Arabidopsis thaliana: one gene and its partners. The protein of the gene in region 1 interacts with the protein of each later gene in a pairwise test. Each region holds a gene or a part of one and is shown on either strand. Other genes may lie near its edges.

Region 1 (8,683 bases):
TGTCGAAGTTAGACTTTAGATTTAAAACTTTAGAGTTTATATATACAGTAAAATCTCTATAAATTAATAATATTGGGACTACAAAATTTTATTAATTTAGAAAGGTATTAATTTATCGATAAATTAATATTTATTAATTTATAAAAAGATTTTCAAAATTTTGGTAACTTTTTAAAAATTTCTATAAAATTTCTTTCATTATTGAAAATATAATAATAATGTCTACAAACAACACCAACAGTTTTGATACAGTAAACTATGATAATTATATTCAAACAAAGAACAAATATGAATTTAAGCAAAAAAATATTAAAAATATATTATAAGGAAATGTTTTATGTTTTACATATAATATATATGTAGTTGATACATTTATACAATTATTAATTTACGATATTGATGGGACCATATATTTACATAAAACTTTCAAAACAATTATTATCATATTAATTTATCGTTTGTGTCACTTTTTACACTGGTTCCAACTTAAGACCGGAAAAATTTATTAATTTATAGAAGTTATTAATTTATAGAGTATTAATTTATAGAGGTTATACTGTATAATATTAAAAGTTGGCCAATAACAATTAAGGAAATTATTTTTAAGGGTGCCTAAAACATATGAAAGATTTTAATTTTTCTTGTTAAAACTTGCTAATAATTTATTGTTATAAGCTTTTATTATAGTCTCTTATTATAGTCCTGGAAATTTGATGTTTAGAAAAAAGTATACTATGACGACAGTGTTTTAAAGTTTCCAAAAAAATCGATAAAAATCTCGCTCAAACTGAAAATCGTGATGAATAGTGACATTTGACAAGTTTCAACATTCAGTAAAAATTGCTAACAAAAGATATTAAAAATAAAATCAAATGTGGTAACATTGTAAATATATGCTAACATAATCCTATACTATTATTGGGAAATACATAATAAAATAACCATATTTTTTGTAAGTAATTACATAGGTATGCAATTAAAAATAAAATTTCAAAGAGTAAAATAATTCATCTTTTTAAATATTAAAAAGTCAAATACTAATTTAATTAATTAAATTTAATTAAAAAACAAAATACATTTTTAATTTCTAAAAAAGTAACCAATCAAAATCAACATATAAGATTTGATATCCAAATTTTAATTAATTTAATTTAATTAGACAAACGAAATACATTATTAATTTCCAAAAAAAATAACTAATTAAAATCAACAAATTAGATTTGATATCTAAATTATCATATTAATTTTTTATTAATTATTATAGTTCATCTCTCATCTTTATATGATTCTATTTTTGCGAAAAAATAATATTATTGTTATAAAAGAATAATTAGCTTTTCGCATGTGCCATGATTTATATTTTTAAAAACGAATATAAACTGTTCAATACATGAAAAAATATTATAACAGGTCAAAAATAGATTTTAGAAAACTTTCTACTAAGTAACGGGTTATAATTTAAATATTTATATTCAATTTCATACATATTATTTTGAAAATTTATAATCTTATATACTATAATAATTAATAACATATTAGATTTTTTTATGTGTATGATGTGATTCAATTTTTAATACAAGCTTGAAAATCTTAGAATTGACGGGTTTAAATCAATATTAATACAAGATGGTAATTATAGGTGAAACTCTAAAATTAACAATTAAATACAAGTGTATAATCTTAAATACTGAACAATATAAATAATATCAACAAAAATATACAACTAGCAGTTTACTATACATTTAAAATCCATAAAATAATATTATATATTTATAAATCACTTTTACAATAAAAAATTTTAGTTTAACTAAAATATAAGAGTATCTACGGTATACCGCACGTTTATATCTAATTACGTATATATAAAAAAGAAACAACTCAACTAACCCACTTACGTTTCCGTCAATTCAAAAATAAAACTATATATTTTACCAAAAAAAAGTAAAGAAAAAAAAAAGTAAAACTAGATATATACAATTTATTCTAGTTGCAAATTAAGCATTCAAAATTGGCAAGATATGTAATTGTTTAATTTCGTTAAGACTCTTAGCATTAAAACCAAAGAAAATAATATGAAATTTCTCTTACTAAACAAGTTTTTATTTAATGAAAAAAACAAGGTTTATTTAATTACCACAATAATTTATTCTTATAAAAAATGTTGACTCTATACGTAATAAAAGATCCACTGGAAAAACCGAACAAGGGGTCAAAACAAACAGCTCATCCCAAAAAATGCCGACGTTCGTGTTTACACATGCTGCTTTGTCCCCACGCGTCCCCACTCTCAGTTGGCTCTCCGTACAACACGTGTTAAAGGTGATTAATTAACACAAACCGTGATTTCAATTAAAACGAGCTTTTTCTTTCAACTTTTTCCTTACGTTTTCCACTTATTGCTTTCGTGTCGTACAAGTGGCGTCTGGTCATTAGATTGTGTCCCGTGATCTGACCCCAATTGCACACGTACGCTACCATACCACGTGTACTTCTAGTTCACGCTCCGGCCAGTCTCGCCGGATTCCGGTTAGTAAATTCGTAAGACTTCTCTGGTGGTCAAAATAGAAAGTTTTTCGTGCATTTTGATTGGTTCTAGTGAAATTGTGCAAATTTTTGATTGACTTAATGGCCCACTTCCATTTCAAAACATTTGTTATTAGTATTGTTTTGGTTCATAAATTATCATTAGTTTATTTCTTCAGAGAAACAAGAGATAATAAGTCAATGATATAATTATTCACTATCAATTATTTATCTACCTTTCTATTTCGATAACATTTCAGCACCATGTATGATATCAATTATAGTATATATCTTCGAATCATATTTTAATATGATCGTTGATACGATCTCCATGCATTTATGTAGAAGAAAAGCCGACCACAAATATTAAACAAAAGAGTAGATAGATACCAATAATAGAAACTCCATCATTAAAACAATGTTATGAGCTGAGCTTTATATTGTTTACTGGTGGGATGTTGCTTTCCCCTTGACGAATATACTTTAGTAATAAATATTTTAAAACTATAGTATTTTGGATTTTGGATATGTAACAAAATCTATATAACAAATACAATGATTGCATGTTTACATAACTCTATTCCAATGGCGTTTTGTTTATTGGAATTGGAGAAAACCATTAACATCAAACGAATAATTAGTGATATTATCACTGTAATAACTCTCTTTTTCATCCTCGGTGCTGCAAGTGCTACTATTGATGTAAGTTGAGGAACTTGAGTTTAACGGAGTCGGGCTTGAAGAAGGTGTGGTCAAGACTGAAGCAAAGTCGGAGTAATAAGGTTCTAATACAAAATTGGACTTCGAACAATCATCATCGTATGACAATGAATTTTGGACCGTCGTCTTCATTGGCATGAGGTCTTGGAAATTCGTGAATTGATCCATGATAGGGAACCAAGATTGTAATTCTTCATTACCAGGCATGTTGTAACCGGTTTGGTATTGGTTTACTTCGGTTTGGTTAACCGTGTTGTTCTCGTGTGTGTTGTTGGGGTGGTTTTGGTTTGAAAAGAGAGAGGTTGCGAGTTTGAGTATCTCGGGGTTAACCAATGGTTGATGATTACCATCACTCATCATGAGCCTCGACATGTTCATATGTTGTTGATGATGATGATGATGATGATGCGAAGAGTTGTAGATAGATGAGCTGAGAATGGAGGAGATATCGAGAAGATCAAGACGTGGAGTGTGTGTAACCGGGTCGATTCCCATCTTTAGAAGTCTTTTTCTGATGTGAGTGTTCCAATAGTTTTTGATCTCGTTGTCTGTTCTTCCAGGCAAACGAGCCGCAATCGCAGACCACCTATACGAAAGCAAACAAAGTTAGAATCTGATGCATTGTAGATTTAACATAAATCACTAGTAACATCATTCAAAGCTATGACTCTAAGACTAATCTACAAGATTAGTAGTTTTCGTATAAACTACGTAATGGCAAAAATATAAAATTATTGAAAAGTTCAAACTCACTTGTTTCCCATGATGCTGTGAAGTTGAATAATGGTTTCTTCTTCTTCAAAAGAGAATCTTCCACGCTTAATATCTGGTCGGAGATAGTTGGTCCACCGGAGACGACAACTCTTACCACATCTTTGTAACCCTATAGTCAAGATTCAAGCAAAACTTTAAAAAGACAATTCACGAATAAAAAAAGTATGATTAAAATGTAATAATGAAGATACGTATACTAACCAGCATTCTTGGGAAGAGTTCTCCAATTTCCATAACCATGTATATTGATATAATCAATGAGCTTTTGATCCTCCTCAGGAGTCCATGGTCCTTTCTTGAGACCATTCTTCTTCTCACAACATGGTGATCGTCCCATCTTTTTGATTAATTGTTAACCGATCGATGAAGTCAAATGTTTTTAAAAAAATATAGTGATTGAATTATGAGGAAACAGAGAGTAGAGAGAAAGAGAGAGACGTAGGGTCCTTAAAGAGAGGTACGAAATATATATAGGAAAGAGATGAGACTCTTATCATATGGGGAAAAAAGGTGAAGTCAAATTGATTCGGTGCCGTCCTCTGTTCATCGATTGGGCTACGTGTCCTTTATAATCCCAAAATTTGTTTTTTCCAAAAAGTTTTTTTTGGATGTATACATACTATATATTAATGTTTTTTCCTACACCTTATTGTGAATTATGATAATGGCTAAAACTCTAGTAACAAAGCTGGCCACTAAATAACTTAATTTGGTTTTTGTTTGTAAGTATTTTTGTAAGTCATTTATGTTTTAAGTTAATTATAACTATGCATGCATGTGAATCTAGTGTGACACTTCGGTACAAATCTTGTAATTTGGGTAACCAAAAATATTTTTCATAACTTAGATAGTATAGAAACCATTTATACATTCTTCTTGTTGATTTTTTTTTTTTTTTTGAATATCAAGAGATTCTGGATCGAAGCATTTCTCTAGGCCTGAAACCATAGCATGTAATTTTTGTTCCAAGCGTCACTCAAATAGACATCTCTAAGCTTTGCCTAAATTTTTTACCAATTGAGCTAACGACACTTGATTCTTCTCGTTGATATTAATAAGAAAAATATCGTCAATCCAACTAATACCCTAGTTTCGAGTGATATGTTTCAAATTAACTATTTTTAATTGATTAGGAGTTTCATAATTTATAAGAGTCTCTATAATAGTATATAGTCTATTCAACTAGAAAATTGATAAATTCTGTTTTAATATTGTTAATAAAGACGGTAGACAAATGTACGTATGATATGAAACACGTGATTTTGGGGAGTTTTGTAGTGTTAAACACTGTATAGATTAATGTATAAACTTGTGTGATGATACTTAAGACTTAACTAATCAATTGATAAATATGATAATTAACAATGCAATCACAATCTAAAGAGACATGGACGTCGTCGAGGAGTGTCGCTCTCCGTAGCTTTTGGCTGTTTTCACATTAGCTGTCGCCAAAGTTATGATGCCACGTACTCTCTCTTTCCTCACAATTCAACCCTTCTGCTTTGTTTTTTCCTTTGGACTTTTTTGCAAAAACAAAACATATACAATGGATAAAATTTGTAAAACTATCAGAATACTGTTTGGTAACATAACTTTTAAAATTAATTTTGATTTTTACGTGAAAAGTATTTAACAAATTAACGCAGGTTCACACACACCAAGTTTTATAAAAGATTCTGGATTCATCTAATATCAAATTTTAAATAAATAACATATTTTCGTATAATAGTTTTTTTTGGGTAAATTTCAATAAAAACTACAATTGCAATTTTTATTAATGTTATAAAAACGACATTACCAACCTATAAATTCGTGAGTTTGATGTATAAGAAAATAGATAAATAAATGTTCAAGTATTAAATACATACACAGCAAATTTAGCTGTTCCTCTCTGTCTCTCTCTCTATCCCATCAAACTTTCTCAAGAAAAAAATGAAGACCAATCTTTTGGACTTATTAGCTTTTTCTACGTGAGATTTTGAATACATGATTGTGAATTTGTGATGCTTCCAAATTCCATTTGAAATTTTTGATTTTGAGTTATATATATATATATATATATCTTATTATTCATTGGGTGGCTTTATAATCATTTTGAAGTAAATATAAATGTGAGAAGAAAATTGATTGATACATTTTGCATGGCGTGACGTCAGATAGATTATCACTCTTATAGGAACCACGAGTTGTGCAACTCATCTTCCCTTTCGTGTTTCGACACTTTACATTTAATTACAACTAATAAAAATGGATTTTATTAACTAATTAAGTACTTTTTTGATCTCCTAAGAATTTGAATATATGAGTAGCTAAAACTCTAGAACAAACTAATTATAGTTAATGAATATTTGGATTCTATATTATTGGCGCATATGGCCTTATTATATATGCATAGTTTCAGGCAAACAAAAATTCATTCGAATATTCCAACAAACAAAAGCATCCAAGTAATAAAAATACATAAACAAAAGCAGCTAGTTTATAGACAAAATCTTCAAATAATCAGGAAGGACGACGATATAGATTGGTGATTAATATATTAGTAGTGATCGAATCATTGTCACATTTATGCTATTATAATACTATAGTTAAATATAAGTACATTAGGTTAATGTCTCGTTCCTTGCGGTTCAAGAATCTGTCGGGTTTAACGACAAATGAAAACTCCGCAAAGTGCGAAATTATGTGAATGAATAAGTATATTAGTTGATAAGAAAAAGGAGAATAAAATTTCATCACTTTATCAAATAAATAAATAAAAGAATACAGGATTAAAATAACTAAAAAAAAAAATTAGAAGATAGCTAGTGATGCTATATTAGGGTAGTAACTTGTCAAACATCTAGAGGCTTTGCTTGCGCATGAATTTGCCACAAAGAGCAGCAGCCTACGTGTTACTAGTTACTACATAGTTGACCATATCTTATTTGTTGATAATGTTTGAGCCTTTTCATGAATTAAATATGTTTCATGGATATTGGATCTGTATATCACTATGGATAAATCACTTAGAGCTCGATTGATTTAAACGTAATAGAAACATGTGCAATTGCAATTGCAAGAATTTGCAAAAACAGATGGGTTTTCACACATTTTGGATCTAAATTTATAGAAACATACGTGACTTCGTATATGTGAATCAAATTGAAGATATATTTGTAGGTCAATTTTCACTTTCTAGGTAATAATAGTACAAAAATTTATTAATTTAGAGAGGTATTAATTTATCGATAAATTAATAATTATTAATTTATGGAGAGATTTTAAAAAATTTGTAATTTTTTACAAAAATTTAATCCAAAAGGTAGTTCCTCTCTACAATCAATAATTTTTCTAAAAATCAATTACAAGTATAAAACCATTATTAGGTTTAAAAAAAAAATCTTTTTTATACGTAGTAAAATTATTAGAATTGAATTTTACAAAGAATTAATATAAATTGAAGAAAAACAATACTAAAGTCATATTTTACTAAGTTTTACATAATATATATTCATAAATATAAATATATATATATATATATATATTCATAAATTTATACAATTATTAATTTATAATATTGATGGGACCATATATTTACATAAAATTTTCAAAATAATTATTATCTTATTAATTTATCGATTTGTATCAATTTTTATAGTGGTCCCAACTCGGGACCGGAAGAATTTATTAATTTATAGAGGTTATTAATTTATCGAGTATTAATTTATAGAGGTTTTACTGTATGTGGGCAATAATAGTATGTAGCCACATACTATATATATATATATACACGATACTTGCCTAATTTTTCTTAATATAAAATATGATTGATTAGTATGTATGTTAAAATAAATCGAGTCACGTACGTAGAGATTATCGTCGCATTATTCCAGATTTTGATACGTCAGAAACGAGCCATTTGAATTCTAAATAGTTGAAAGACAAAGACCAAGAGTCCACACACACATACGTAATTATGTATATAACATTTATTTATGTATAGAAAATTACAATACATATGCGAGTGCGATACGATATCGGAATTAATAGTTGTGGAGTTGATGTGCCACATAGTAAAGTAGCTATATCTATATAGAATATTTGAATTATTAAACTTAGTGGTTTCTATTCTTGGAGGTTTCATAATAGAGGTGTGTTAATGATATTAAAATAACGAAATAGAATTTAGCTCTGGTAGTTGGATTTGAATCCGTACAACTCTGGGAGTTGGATTTGGAAGCGGTTGAGTAAGCTTCGTAGTCTGGCGAGACTTTTTTTGGTGTGTGAAGTGGGTTTGGCTATTACGGCTAGTTTCTGGTACGATAATTAGACTGGTTTGGGTTCTCTTTTAAATCTCACGAGTCCTTTGGGTCTTCAGGTGATAGGTCTGCCAAAAAAGGCGGTGGTAAGAGACGCAATTTCTGGTGATAGGTGGAGGGTTATGGGTTCTAGAAGTCGTAATCCCATCATCTCCTTGATCAAAGCACGCCCTGCCTAGTTGCAATGATATCATTACCTATGAAGTCGATCAAAGACCTCCTTCTCACTCTTTCTCCTCTGCTCTGACTTGGCAAGCGCTTCACCCTTCTGGCCGTCCTGTTGTGTGGCATAAGTCGGTTTGGTTTAAGGACCATATTCCAAAGCACGCATTCATTACTTGGGTTACTGCTTAGAATCGGCTTCA
Region 2 (5,699 bases), on another chromosome or scaffold:
ACTTGTCGTCACCAATTTCCTTTAACCCACTGCTACGGAAATATTCTCGTTTGTATTTGTTTATTTTTAATAGATTTCCACTTCACACTGTCTTGGTAACTCCGATTGTCGTCACAGTTCCATTTTAAGGCTTTGCACTTTGTAATTGACACATTGTTGTATGAATCTTTTATACTGATAGTGGTTAATAACTCAATACTCTCCTGTTGTCTTGTGCAGCACCACAATAAACTAATGATGGAAGCTAAAGCAAGAGGAGAAGGATACAAAATTGACAAGCTCAGACGAAATATAGAGATGGACGAGTATGATTTCTTACACTGGCGCCGATCTTTGGAGGAAAGAGAAGCATTGCTCAGAGATATCAGCTCGTAAGTAAAAAAAAGTTCACTTTGATGTTTTTCAAAGAAAGTGTTTAGATGAAGAAGATTTATTTTGCAGTCGGCAAGCACTTGGTTTACCATTGGAGGAACCAGGGAGGTACAAGCCAGGAAGCTTCTTTGGGAAAGACCAGTACGATCCAACAAGTGCATTATATCAGTATGACTACTGGGGAGAGCCAAAGAACTCAGAGATTAGCAAGCAAGAGAGAATGAAGGATGCACACAACAAATCCATTGTTGGGAAAGGCAATGTGTGGTATGACATGTCTTACGATGATGCGATTAAGCAGACAATAGAGAAAAGAAAAGAAGGGTCTACCTTGGCGAGTCAAGAAGAAGAAACAGAGTCAGAGGAAGAAGAAGAGGATGACGATGATTTTGACGATTTTGACTATAGCATTCTGAGTGATGAGAGCAGTATCGGTTACTCGGAACAGCAACCTCTTGTTAACGGTACTCAAGTCTTGACAGACTGATGTTTAAAAGGAAAGTAAAAATAAGAAATTGTCGAGGTTGATTTATTTGAATTTTTGTCTGTTAGGTTTGATCTATTTGATAGTTTTTTTTTTTCATTTCTTCTTATCCCGGAGATAGTAAAATCAGTTTCTTATTAACTTAGCCAGACGTTTGGGATCTTGTAGTACACCGTTGAACGTTAGGAACGTGACGTTTTTTGTTTTTTCTATCAATCGTCGTCAGAGAAGGTAGTCTTGACACCGCAAAATACGCCTAAATGTTTCTCTTGTTTCTTCTGTTTGGGCTCCAAAACATCAACTTCTATCAAAAGGCTTTCTCGTTCGTACCTGGAATATCAAAAACCCTTGTCATCTCTCCGTGTATACCAAAAACTTCACACCATGTGTGCTCTTTGATGACAAAACTCTTAAGGCAAACTCTTACCAAAGCTACTCTGCAAGGTTGTACCTAATTCACAAAAATAATAGCATTAAACTTGTACAATGACATCAAAACTCTAAAGCAATAAGTTAGAGAACCAAATCTCCATAACATGGAAAATCAGTTTACTTGGGTCGGAGAGGGTATGGAGCTATCTCAGCTACGGAGAAGATGAAAACAGAGACGGTTTATTAGCCTGGAAGAGTTCGTTGAGAGCAGCAAAAGAAGTTATAAATATAAACCTTGAAGAGGAAGAGAGCGAGAGAAAAGAGGTGCTCCGAGTTGTATATGCTCGTTAAGGGTTTTCGCTCTTCTTTGTGGGCCTTAAAAGGCTAATAAGCTTCGGCCCAATTTTATTATTCTGTTTAAATCGTCCGTTGACTTGTTTTATTTTATACAACCAAAAACAATCTTCATACATATTGTTTACGGTTTAAGGATGGTGTTTGCAACGTCTCAGTACTCCGCTTCTGATCAGTTAGGTCATTAACAATAGTAACGGAAGATTAAGTAATACTAAAAGATTCTAACAAACAATTTACAAAAGAAAAGTCTCCTTAAAATTCTTAACTAAATTATTATACAATTTATGTCCAATGTAGGTAGACTTGTATTGCTATTTAAAACTCTTAATTTATTTATGTTTTGATTAATTTGATTATATATAACGAAAAATAAATTCAAAAAGATTCTAAAAAACAATTTATAAAAGAAAAGTCCCCGGCTAAACACTATTCATTTGACCCTTAAAAACTCGATTATAGTATCATACAATGTCTTTGATTTTAGTCTTGTAGCGCTATTTCTTATCCGGAGATGGTAAAATCAGTTTCTCATTAACTTAACGATTTGGAATTTGGTACACACCGTTGATTTGAATGTTTTGAATCTGACGTCTTCTTCTTTTTTTGTCAAAAAATGGAACTGATGTTTAAGTTCCAAAAACACAGCTACACATAGTTAAACATTGGTCCATGTGGCATTTCTATTATGGCATAGATGATATATAGATGTCCCACGTATCATTAGATATCGCACTTTTACCGCAGGTAGACTGTAGTACATTCAAAGCTGTAGTACAACATTTATTCCTCACCCTCCTTTTTTGTTTTCTTTTGCTCCGACGTATCACGTTTATTGGGTCGTTTACTTTCTTATATTCCTTGTTTCCTCAAAACGTGAGTGCCGACAAAAGAAAAGAAAATATCAAAATCAAAATGTGATGAGTTCGACTGAAATATCTCTTCAAGTGAGTAACTAGCTCAAAGTAAGACCGGTTCGCTCACACTTTTTTGTAGCAATCAAGATGGTATGTTTCACATTTTTTGGACCATTTTGGAATTTGCATGTTTGGACGATCACTCGGACCGTAATTTCCAACCGTCCTTGCCGTGAAATCTCACAACATGCGTCCAATATAGGTGGGAACCGCACCGACGATACGCATTAAATACTTACAAAATTTTCCTTCATTAATTATTTTTAAGCAACAAGCTTGAAATTTAGCATCACAAATGCGTCAAGAACAAACAAAAGAAAGATGCATTTTTTACAAAAATTCTTAAATAAAAAACTATTTAAAAAACAACCAAAAACAAAGAAGGCATAAGAACAAAAACGACATAAATATATGTTAAACCATTAGAAATCTAATTAGTTCTGAATCCATATTTTATCATTGGAGGACATATCATGTGTAATGTTCGTGCCCATAGTGACTAAAGTTGATCTAACGGTGTCAAAGGCACAAAGCGGCCTTAACGTCGAGCCTCCAAGCAAAACCACCACCGACGTCCATTCTCCACACGTCGCAAGGCACCGTGACTGAGCCTCTCTCACGATTTTGACACGTGTACTGGAGTTTCATTCTGCATGTGAATCCAGGGGACGTTAGCATCGGCCTCTCCCTCATCACCAACCGTACGATCACGTGAAAACTATCGCCGCTAGTTATCTCCGGTGCACCTTCTTCCACGGGAATAATATCCCTAGCCATCTTCCGATACGCGTCATTAGTCCACGTGACTCTCCCTGAACCGTCGGATATGAAACCAGGACACGTGTCTCTCACAAGATTCATCTTCCTTTCTTCATCTGACCTCCCTAAACCGTAACCGTCAATCCAAGCGTCCGTTACACGCTCCACCGTCATACACGACGAAATCACCACCGTCCTCTGCACAATCTCCGGTGTCTGATAAGCCGGTGTGAGCATCCCTCCGCCGTCTTTGAAACTCAACCATAACGGACCCTGCCGCTTCTGCTTCTCCACCGCCGCCTTAAGATCTATAGGTTTCTCCGGTAATAGAGAAAGAGTCACCGCATTAGCACTGCCGTGAACGACGGGTTTATCCGACGTCTTCCGCCGGGTGCACCTCTTGGCGTTACCACCATTCTCCTTCAGCTGATGACATTTCCTCTTTCTTCTACTAGCTGATCTAAAGGAAACGTCGGAGCTTCCGCCGCCGCTATCTCCGCTGGATACGGGATTTACTCCGCCGGGGCTGGCCGGTTTAGGAGCAATGGGACGAAATCGAAGCATGATGCGATCTGCTTTGGAAAGATCGTACGGTCCAGAGCCAATGGCGTACCTAGCTATGCAACACCCTCCCCTACCGTCCATTTTTTCTCGCTATCTATATCACTCTTGATATTTTTGTGTAAAGAATGTTTGAGAATTAGGTAAAAGCTTTACTTGAGCTGAGGAATACACTGAACAGAAATGGTAAGGGTTTTATAACGTCTGTGATCTGGACACGTGTTGGAGTCTATACTAGTTGTGACATGGACACGTGTCTTTGCCTGCACGCTTGTGGTTGTGTTGGGTCTAGAAGACAGTAGTAAAGGGTTTGGGTTGCACATGGAAAGTTATTCTCTCTTTTTGTTTTTTTGCCTAAGTTATTCTCCCAACTCTAACCATTAATTTTACCGTTCAGTAAAAAGAACTGTAACTTTATATATTAGTGTAGGAGAAAAAAAAGTTTGGTCTATGCTATGACAGGAGTGATAGTTCTTGTTGCAAGAAGAAAACATAGTTCTTGTTGAAGATTATGTATTTTGGGTCGAGTTTTTTTTTTGGTTAACTTCACATAAATCTATGCATATAATCTTTTTGATTATTTTTACCACTAACCCTCAACTCATTGCTTCGTTTTGGGGCAACGTCAAAAAAATGTTAGGCAAAAAGATAAAAAGGTATAATTTGGTTAAAATTAGTGACAACATCCCTATACAATTGTGAACGAACTAATAAGATTCTTGGACTTTCGTATATTTCCCAACCACACTCTTAAAACTAATCCATATACTATAAATTTAAGAATAACACAGTTTTTTTATTTAAGTTTTTTTTTTGTTATTTGCCAATCAAGTACTAATACAACCATATATAGAGTGGATCACTGGTCAGTAATTAGTTCCAAAATTTGCAAATTAATCTCCACTTACGAAGCGATTTACTGATGTAACAATAGTGAAGAGATGGCAAAATCAAGTTAAAATATCTGACAACAAAAATGGTTTTTATACGCACGAGTCACACGACTCAAAAGGTGATGAGTCGATCGATTATAATTATAATCATTGACCAAGTCTAAATTTAAAGCGAATGGCATCTTAATTAAATTTAAAGTGATTGTGACAAATTAGATCTGAAAGGGGACAAGATGATCTCATGCGTAAATGAACTTAAAGATTTGGTGACAAAAATAAAGATTAGTGCCAATGGAGTTAGGTAATCGTTATTGAAATATCAAGAAGGAATATTGATTAATCAAATATACTCCTATTGTACCTATCTATAGTAAATGATTATAACAAGTATAATCATCTATATCTGGTTTATAGGTGTTTCCTTAATTTAGCTATTAATATTAGAGGAATTCTTATGGACAAAACTTGGATACATTCATAATACATATATAAATTTTACTTGAGCTTCTGCTTCGAGATCTTCTTTTGAGGATAGACATATTCAAACAATAACGGATTTGACAAATAACAGTTATAGTTTGACCAGTAAATGAGTTTAATGGCTATTAGCGACTTGATATATATGTTTTACGAGTTCGAATCTAATTTTTGCAAATGGGAACAAAGAAAAAATTTAGGCCAGTGGACCTATGCCAAACAAAGAGTTTGATTGTGTAACTTTGTTTTCTCAAGAGATGGTAATTAGTTTCAATCTTCTATATGCGTCAGATACATATTACTGTCCAAACCATTTTAAATTTCTGATGAGCTAAAAACATTCTCAAAAAGACATTATTCAATCTGTTTGAAGTCTATTTTTTTGGGTAGAATAATAAACATCTCATAAGAGTTCAAACCAAAATCTTAGTCTCCAAAGATTTTTTGTTATCCGTCGGCTTAGTTTCTAGGATTATCTTGTTAATCGCCAGCTTTAGCTTTGTAAAACTC
Region 3 (5,854 bases), about 14 Mb from region 1:
AAATGACTTCGAAAGATATTGACCATTGATGACCTTTCTGCCCCTGCCATCTAAACTGGTTGCAACTTTATACACTTTTGAAATACAGGAAACAGAAGGTTTAAAAGATGCATTGAAGAAGGAGATAAGAAAGTTTAAGGTATCTTTTGTTAGTCTATTGTCATGAGCATTCCTTATCTTCATGAGATTCCTTATATTAGACTCCATGCCACATTCATAATTTAAATTCCGAAAGTGCAAGTAATGGTTTAGAATTAGCTCACTCCGAAACTGAATGCACCACTGTACTGATGTTTTTTTTGCTATGTTTTGAATCAATTTTGATAGTCGTCATGTCTCCATATTCCACACTGGCTGCTCTGCAGGATCAACCTTGTTCAAAACAGAAATCTATCACTTTCTTTGAGCATGACAAATCAACCAACGAGCTGCTACCTGCGTGTGTTGAAATACCTACGGATGGAACTGATGAGTGGGAAATTGACATGAAGCAGCTCAAAATTGAAAAAAAGGTGGCATGTGGATCATACGGGGAACTGTGAGTTTTCATATTCAAAAATCTTGTTTTTAATACTATATGAGGAAATTAACAGCTATATATTCTTAATGGCTATGCAGATTTAGAGGAACCTATTGTAGTCAGGAAGTAGCTATCAAAATTCTCAAGCCTGAGCGTGTTAATGCGGAAATGCTACGAGAGTTTTCTCAGGAAGTATATATAATGAGGTGTGCTGCAATTTGATTCTAATTGCAACTCGTACTCTTATAGTATATGTATTCTAATAAATCTCCAAAAATTCCATTTCATGGTGTATACGTAGAAACATGCATGAGTTTCCCTCATTTTCTAACAACCAGTGTCCATTGAACAAAGTTAATATTCAGAAACATCCACTACTGATACTTCCCTATTTGTAGGAAAGTTCGGCATAAAAATGTTGTCCAGTTCATTGGTGCATGTACACGATCACCAAACCTCTGCATTGTGACAGGTAAGTTGTCAGTAGATTATGAATAGGAGACTGGTTCCATCTAGATCGTTTTTTTTGTTGGTTTTGTATCTTCAAGCGTGGTGAGAAAGTTGTTTCAGCAGGACATTGAGGTTCTATAGAGTATTGTTTAGTAAATACCGTAACATTTCATTTCCTAGTTTTGGCCTTTACATGTATTCATGGTCGGATGATTTTATCCTTTTGTATCAGAGTTCATGACTCGGGGGAGCATTTATGATTTCCTTCACAAACACAAAGGGGTTTTTAAAATTCAATCTTTGCTCAAAGTGGCACTCGACGTCTCGAAAGGAATGAATTATCTGCATCAAAACAATATTATTCATAGAGACCTTAAGACTGCTAATCTTCTTATGGACGAACATGAAGTAAGTCTCAATCTTTGGCCACTGATCATGTAGTCTTTTCAGCTTGTAAACCTTTAAAATTCTACAAAAAACTTAATTTCCTCTTTCCGTCTCCACAAAATTCTTTTAATCTTCTTAGAACAGAGGTACATGTCTTTAATTTCTACATAATTTTGGACAGGTTGTCAAAGTTGCCGATTTTGGTGTTGCCAGAGTGCAGACTGAGTCAGGGGTTATGACAGCGGAAACAGGGACATACCGATGGATGGCTCCAGAGGTATTACTTCTTTGTCTTGTTCTTTTTTTTGACTTTCCATGCTTTTGACACTAGACTCTGTGAACCCAGGTCATTGAGCACAAACCTTATGATCACAGGGCAGATGTCTTCAGCTACGCGATTGTGCTGTGGGAACTTTTGACTGGGGAAGTAAGACTCCTAGTTTTCTCTCTCTGGATTTTAGTCGAAAGTTGCTAAACTCAGTAAATCTCATGTGTTTAACACACTTTTTTTTCTTACTGGTGTATAATGAATGAAAACAGCTCCCATATTCTTACTTGACTCCACTGCAAGCTGCTGTTGGCGTTGTCCAAAAGGTATCATGTCTATAGGACTTTATAGTTATTTTTCTCGTGCTTTGATTAACGGCCTTCAACACAATGACTTGTAATTAATTTACAGGGACTTAGACCAAAAATTCCAAAGGAAACACACCCAAAACTGACTGAACTTCTTGAGAAATGCTGGCAGCAAGACCCAGCTCTAAGACCCAATTTTGCAGAAATCATAGAAATGCTTAACCAACTAATCCGCGAGGTAATTGATTTATCATTGCATCTCTCTCTCTAACCAACACGATTCTTAGCATTAATATGTTTTGAAACCACCAGGTTGGAGATGATGAGCGCCACAAGGATAAACATGGTGGTTACTTTTCAGGCCTAAAAAAAGGCCATCGTTGACTCTCTCGGGTGCGCTGAAAAATTTGGTTTGATCGGTTTGATAGAGCTCTACTCACTTCTCGTTTTTTCGTTGTACAGTTTCTTAGAGCCTCACTCTTTTTGTCCATGTATAATTTTCTTAAAAAACAATCTCCTTTTGATACAATTATCACTGCAGAGATTGATTTGGATTGCAACTCAATAAAGTGAAAGCCATTCTTTTGAAGCCATTCTTAAGAGCGGCTACGGATTTCTTTGTTAATCAAAGCAAGTAATCATATTAACTGATCGTAAACGATTCAGATACAGAAACACCTGTGTTGAGATTGATATTAGTTTTCATAATATTAGTTTCGGTTCCTTTCGGTTTGATCTTGTCCATGTATAAATATGTTTTTCTATCATTTTATAAATTTAACACTTAAACTTAAAGAATAATAATTTAAAACCAATTTAAAACTTAAATTTTAAGAAAGTAATTAATAATTTTTAACTAAAATAATGTTAATTTCACTATTATCATTTAAAAATTAGTTTAAGTATTAAAATTTTAAAACGGCGAAAACTAAACGTGTGTAGGCATGCATCCCCGTCCTTAATTGGTCCGTAAACTTTGTGGTGTTCGAAGTTCGGTAAAGCTTTCACCCAATATAGATTTGACAGTTAAACTATGTTTTAGAGAATAATAATGATGATTGATACTTGCGTTGAGAACATCTACAGAATTTATTGATAATTACAGGAGGTGATATGGCTATGATTGTTTTCACTCTTCTACCGGCAGCTCATTCTCTGTCCAAGCGACGTATCCTCCAGCAATGTCTGTGATCGCCGTGAAGCCCTGTACATGTGGCGACATTAAACCCGCTTGTCCTAAACCGGATAACGGCTATATAAATTGAAGTGATATTACACACATACAGCAGTGAGAAGATCAGTTGAGGCCATAAATGACATTTGACCGCTCTCACAACCCTGCAGAAGTAGTTTATTACGTGCATCAGAGATTTTGTGAAACAAGGGATTGTCTTCATAGGGGTTTATTTAGTCTCTGAATGTCAAAACTGAAACTTACGATTATGATTTCATCGTGTTTCCTGAAGTGGGACGAGACCTGTCTTAGAAAACTCGGGTTCTTAACCATTCCTGCAACGGTTTTGGCTTGGTGTTAGTTTTAAGTTGTTTTTCATTTTCACTCTTTCTCATAAGAGGAACCTTAAGGTCGGTGATGAAAACCTGATCCGACTCTGTACATGTAAGGTACGTTGATGGCTCTAGTCGGATGTCCGATGCTGAATTCGTCTGGTGTCCTCACGTCGAGATAGCGGTATCCTGCTTGAGCTAGCTCACGCGCCACTCTTACTGGTACTGACGTAGGAATTTTAACTGCCTCTGCTGCAACATTTCCTCTGCTTGTTGTCGTTGCTTTCCTCCTTGAGCAAGAAGTTAATACTCAGATTTAATATTTATTCATAATCTAAAATCAGATAGAGAAGGCGATTCTCGTCGTTGATTGCTAGCTTACCATCGGAAGTTTGAGTTTCGAAGATCAGCTACAATAACACCTCTTCGTGTTGGTAATTGGCACTTGAAAGATCCACATGTTTGTAGAGGTGGAGAAATAGCCGATGACCAGTTTCCAATTCGTGATGTTGTGTTAAAAGCAGTGGTTTCCATTTTCACTTCTTCTTTGAAACTTCTTTTAGAATGCTTTGATGCTACTTAGATACTTCTTCTCTTAGTTCTATAGCGTTTATATAATACATACAGACACAAAGGTATGGGTGTCACGTCAGCAAGTTTTATGTCCGATCTTCGAGTCTCTATCATTTCTATGGATAAATTCAATTATGTACCAAAGTCGATTCCAAAATGTAAACAATGCGTAGATAATGAATCATGATAAGTCCAACTCGGTGCCTCGTGAGTCGTGTTGAAGAGGATAACTTGCTGACTCGGACGGATAAGAAGACCGTAAGGCCCAATTGTGATAAACTAATTATGGATCCAAATTATCGTATTTGGGCCTCGTTTAGGCCCAATATTGAAACAAGTGGCTGAGATAGTGGAGCGGAGGAGAGAAGATGATGAAGTTAACAATGGTGGAATAGCGATTCTTCGACGACGATGATGGCGAGGTTTGTTTCTGTGTCGTCTTGTCAGTTTCATTTCGGCTTCCGTGAGGTTTCTCCTCCGTCGGTAACTTCTTATCCTAGACGATTCGAGGTAAATTCTTGTCATGTGTTTTCTTCAGTGACAGTAGTGTGTGATCGGTCATTTGAAGTCAGATGTTCTGAATTAGGTCTCTGATCGGAGATTTCCTGCGATTCCGATTAAATGTTCTTCATCTGAGCCGGAAAACGGTGAGGATTCGGCACCGTCGCTGTCTTCCTCCTCCTCATCGTCTACAAGTGAAGTATCTACTAGTAACAGTTCGACATACAACTGGTACACCGGAATCGGCGGTATTGGGATGTTAGACACTGCGTATTTGACTTACCTCAAGGTCACTGGCTCCGATGCGTTTTGCCCTATTGGTGGTGGCACTTGCGGTGATGTCCTCAACAGCGATTATGCCGTCGTTTTCGGTATTATCCATCGCTTTATTGATTATAGCGTTTGATTTATGTAGCTAATTGTCCTCTCTTTTATAGTAGGCATGATTAAATACTCGCATGTGATAGTCTCTGTGAATCTTTGCTTGAAGCTATATCATTTAGGAGCTTTGGTACTTAGTATGCATAGAATTGTTAGAGTTAAATAGCATGCTTCACTCCACTCTATGTAGTGCTTTGTCTTCGTTGTTTGTCCAACATTGCATTGCAGGTAAGTTGAACTCAATGAAAATCCTTTTTTACATTTTGCCAGGTGTTCCTCTTCCAGTGATTGGATTTGTTATGTATGGCGTAGTAACCGCTCTAAGTGCAGAGCTTGGGGAAGGGAATCTACCTTTTGGAATCAGTAAGAGCAATGGGCGTTTCGCGTTATTTGGGATCACGACTGCAATGGCATCTGCTAGTGCATATTTCCTGTATATCCTTAGCACAAAACTCTCAGGATCATCATGCCTGTATTGTCTGGTGTCTGCTTTCTTATCATTTAGTCTATTTTTCCTCTCTGTAAAGGTATCCCTTTATTTCCATTTCTTTTTTTTTCCTGATGTTGACTCAAGATAACTTCTAAACTTCGGATTATGATAATGTGCTCCATGCATGTGGTAGGATGTGAAGTTGCAAGAAATACAGCAAGTTGTAGGATTGCAGATATGCTTAGCAATCATAGTAGTTGCCTCCTTGACTGCTTCTTACAGTACTGCTCAACCAATCCCTTCACGGTAATCAAAGTTCATAGTTTTCTTTGGGGAGTCCCGATAGAAATTTTAGTCATTTGTAACGAGTAGTGAACAAATAGCTTCCGAAAGATGTATGAGTCTTATCAGGTGGTCTCTTTTAATCCCGATCGTTTTTTGTTTCACTCCTTCCAGCTCTGGTGACATTGAACTGCCATATTTTAGAACAGAGATCAGTTCATCATCGAGCCCTTATGCTATTGCTTTAG

The links. The genes of interacting proteins can lie anywhere in the genome.
Region 2: the proteins of MYB74 (region 1) and AT3G48510 interact in a two-hybrid assay, tested with the Arabidopsis thaliana proteins (one large-scale study listed by BioGRID).
Region 3: the proteins of MYB74 (region 1) and SEN1 interact in a two-hybrid assay, tested with the Arabidopsis thaliana proteins (one large-scale study listed by BioGRID).

Annotation. Positions count from the first base shown.
Region 1 is NC_003075.7:2,614,228-2,622,910, reverse strand, and holds MYB74 (myb domain protein 74), read right to left. Parts: upstream 4,540-8,683; 5' UTR 4,355-4,539; coding exon 4,219-4,354; intron 4,127-4,218; coding exon 3,997-4,126; intron 3,830-3,996; coding exon 3,121-3,829; 3' UTR 2,964-3,120; downstream 1-2,963. Other genes in the region: AT4G05097 (uncharacterized protein), read right to left, coding at 8,348-8,489, 8,516-8,595. UniProt on the Arabidopsis thaliana protein: Probable transcription factor that may function in salt stress response.
Region 2 is NC_003074.8:17,964,550-17,970,248, forward strand, and holds AT3G48510 (AtIII18x5-like protein), read right to left. Parts: upstream 4,042-5,699; 5' UTR 3,904-4,041; coding exon 3,019-3,903; 3' UTR 2,805-3,018; downstream 1-2,804. Other genes in the region: PDE312 (Nucleic acid-binding, OB-fold-like protein), read left to right, coding at 220-371, 442-859.
Region 3 is NC_003075.7:16,943,192-16,949,045, reverse strand, and holds SEN1 (Rhodanese/Cell cycle control phosphatase superfamily protein), read right to left. Parts: upstream 4,169-5,854; 5' UTR 3,974-4,168; coding exon 3,822-3,973; intron 3,730-3,821; coding exon 3,533-3,729; coding exon of another isoform or gene 3,513-3,532; exon of another isoform or gene 3,443-3,512; coding exon 3,372-3,442; coding exon of another isoform or gene 3,327-3,371; exon of another isoform or gene 3,272-3,326; coding exon 3,218-3,271; coding exon of another isoform or gene 3,206-3,217; exon of another isoform or gene 3,138-3,205; coding exon 3,063-3,137; 3' UTR 2,805-3,062; downstream 1-2,804. Other genes in the region: STY17 (ACT-like protein tyrosine kinase family protein), read left to right, coding at 89-139, 366-538, 619-726, 919-992, 1,203-1,378, 1,539-1,634, 1,704-1,784, 1,898-1,951 and 2 more; LTO1 (NAD(P)H dehydrogenase (quinone)s), read left to right, coding at 4,424-4,522, 4,599-4,884, 5,165-5,421, 5,518-5,630, 5,781-5,854.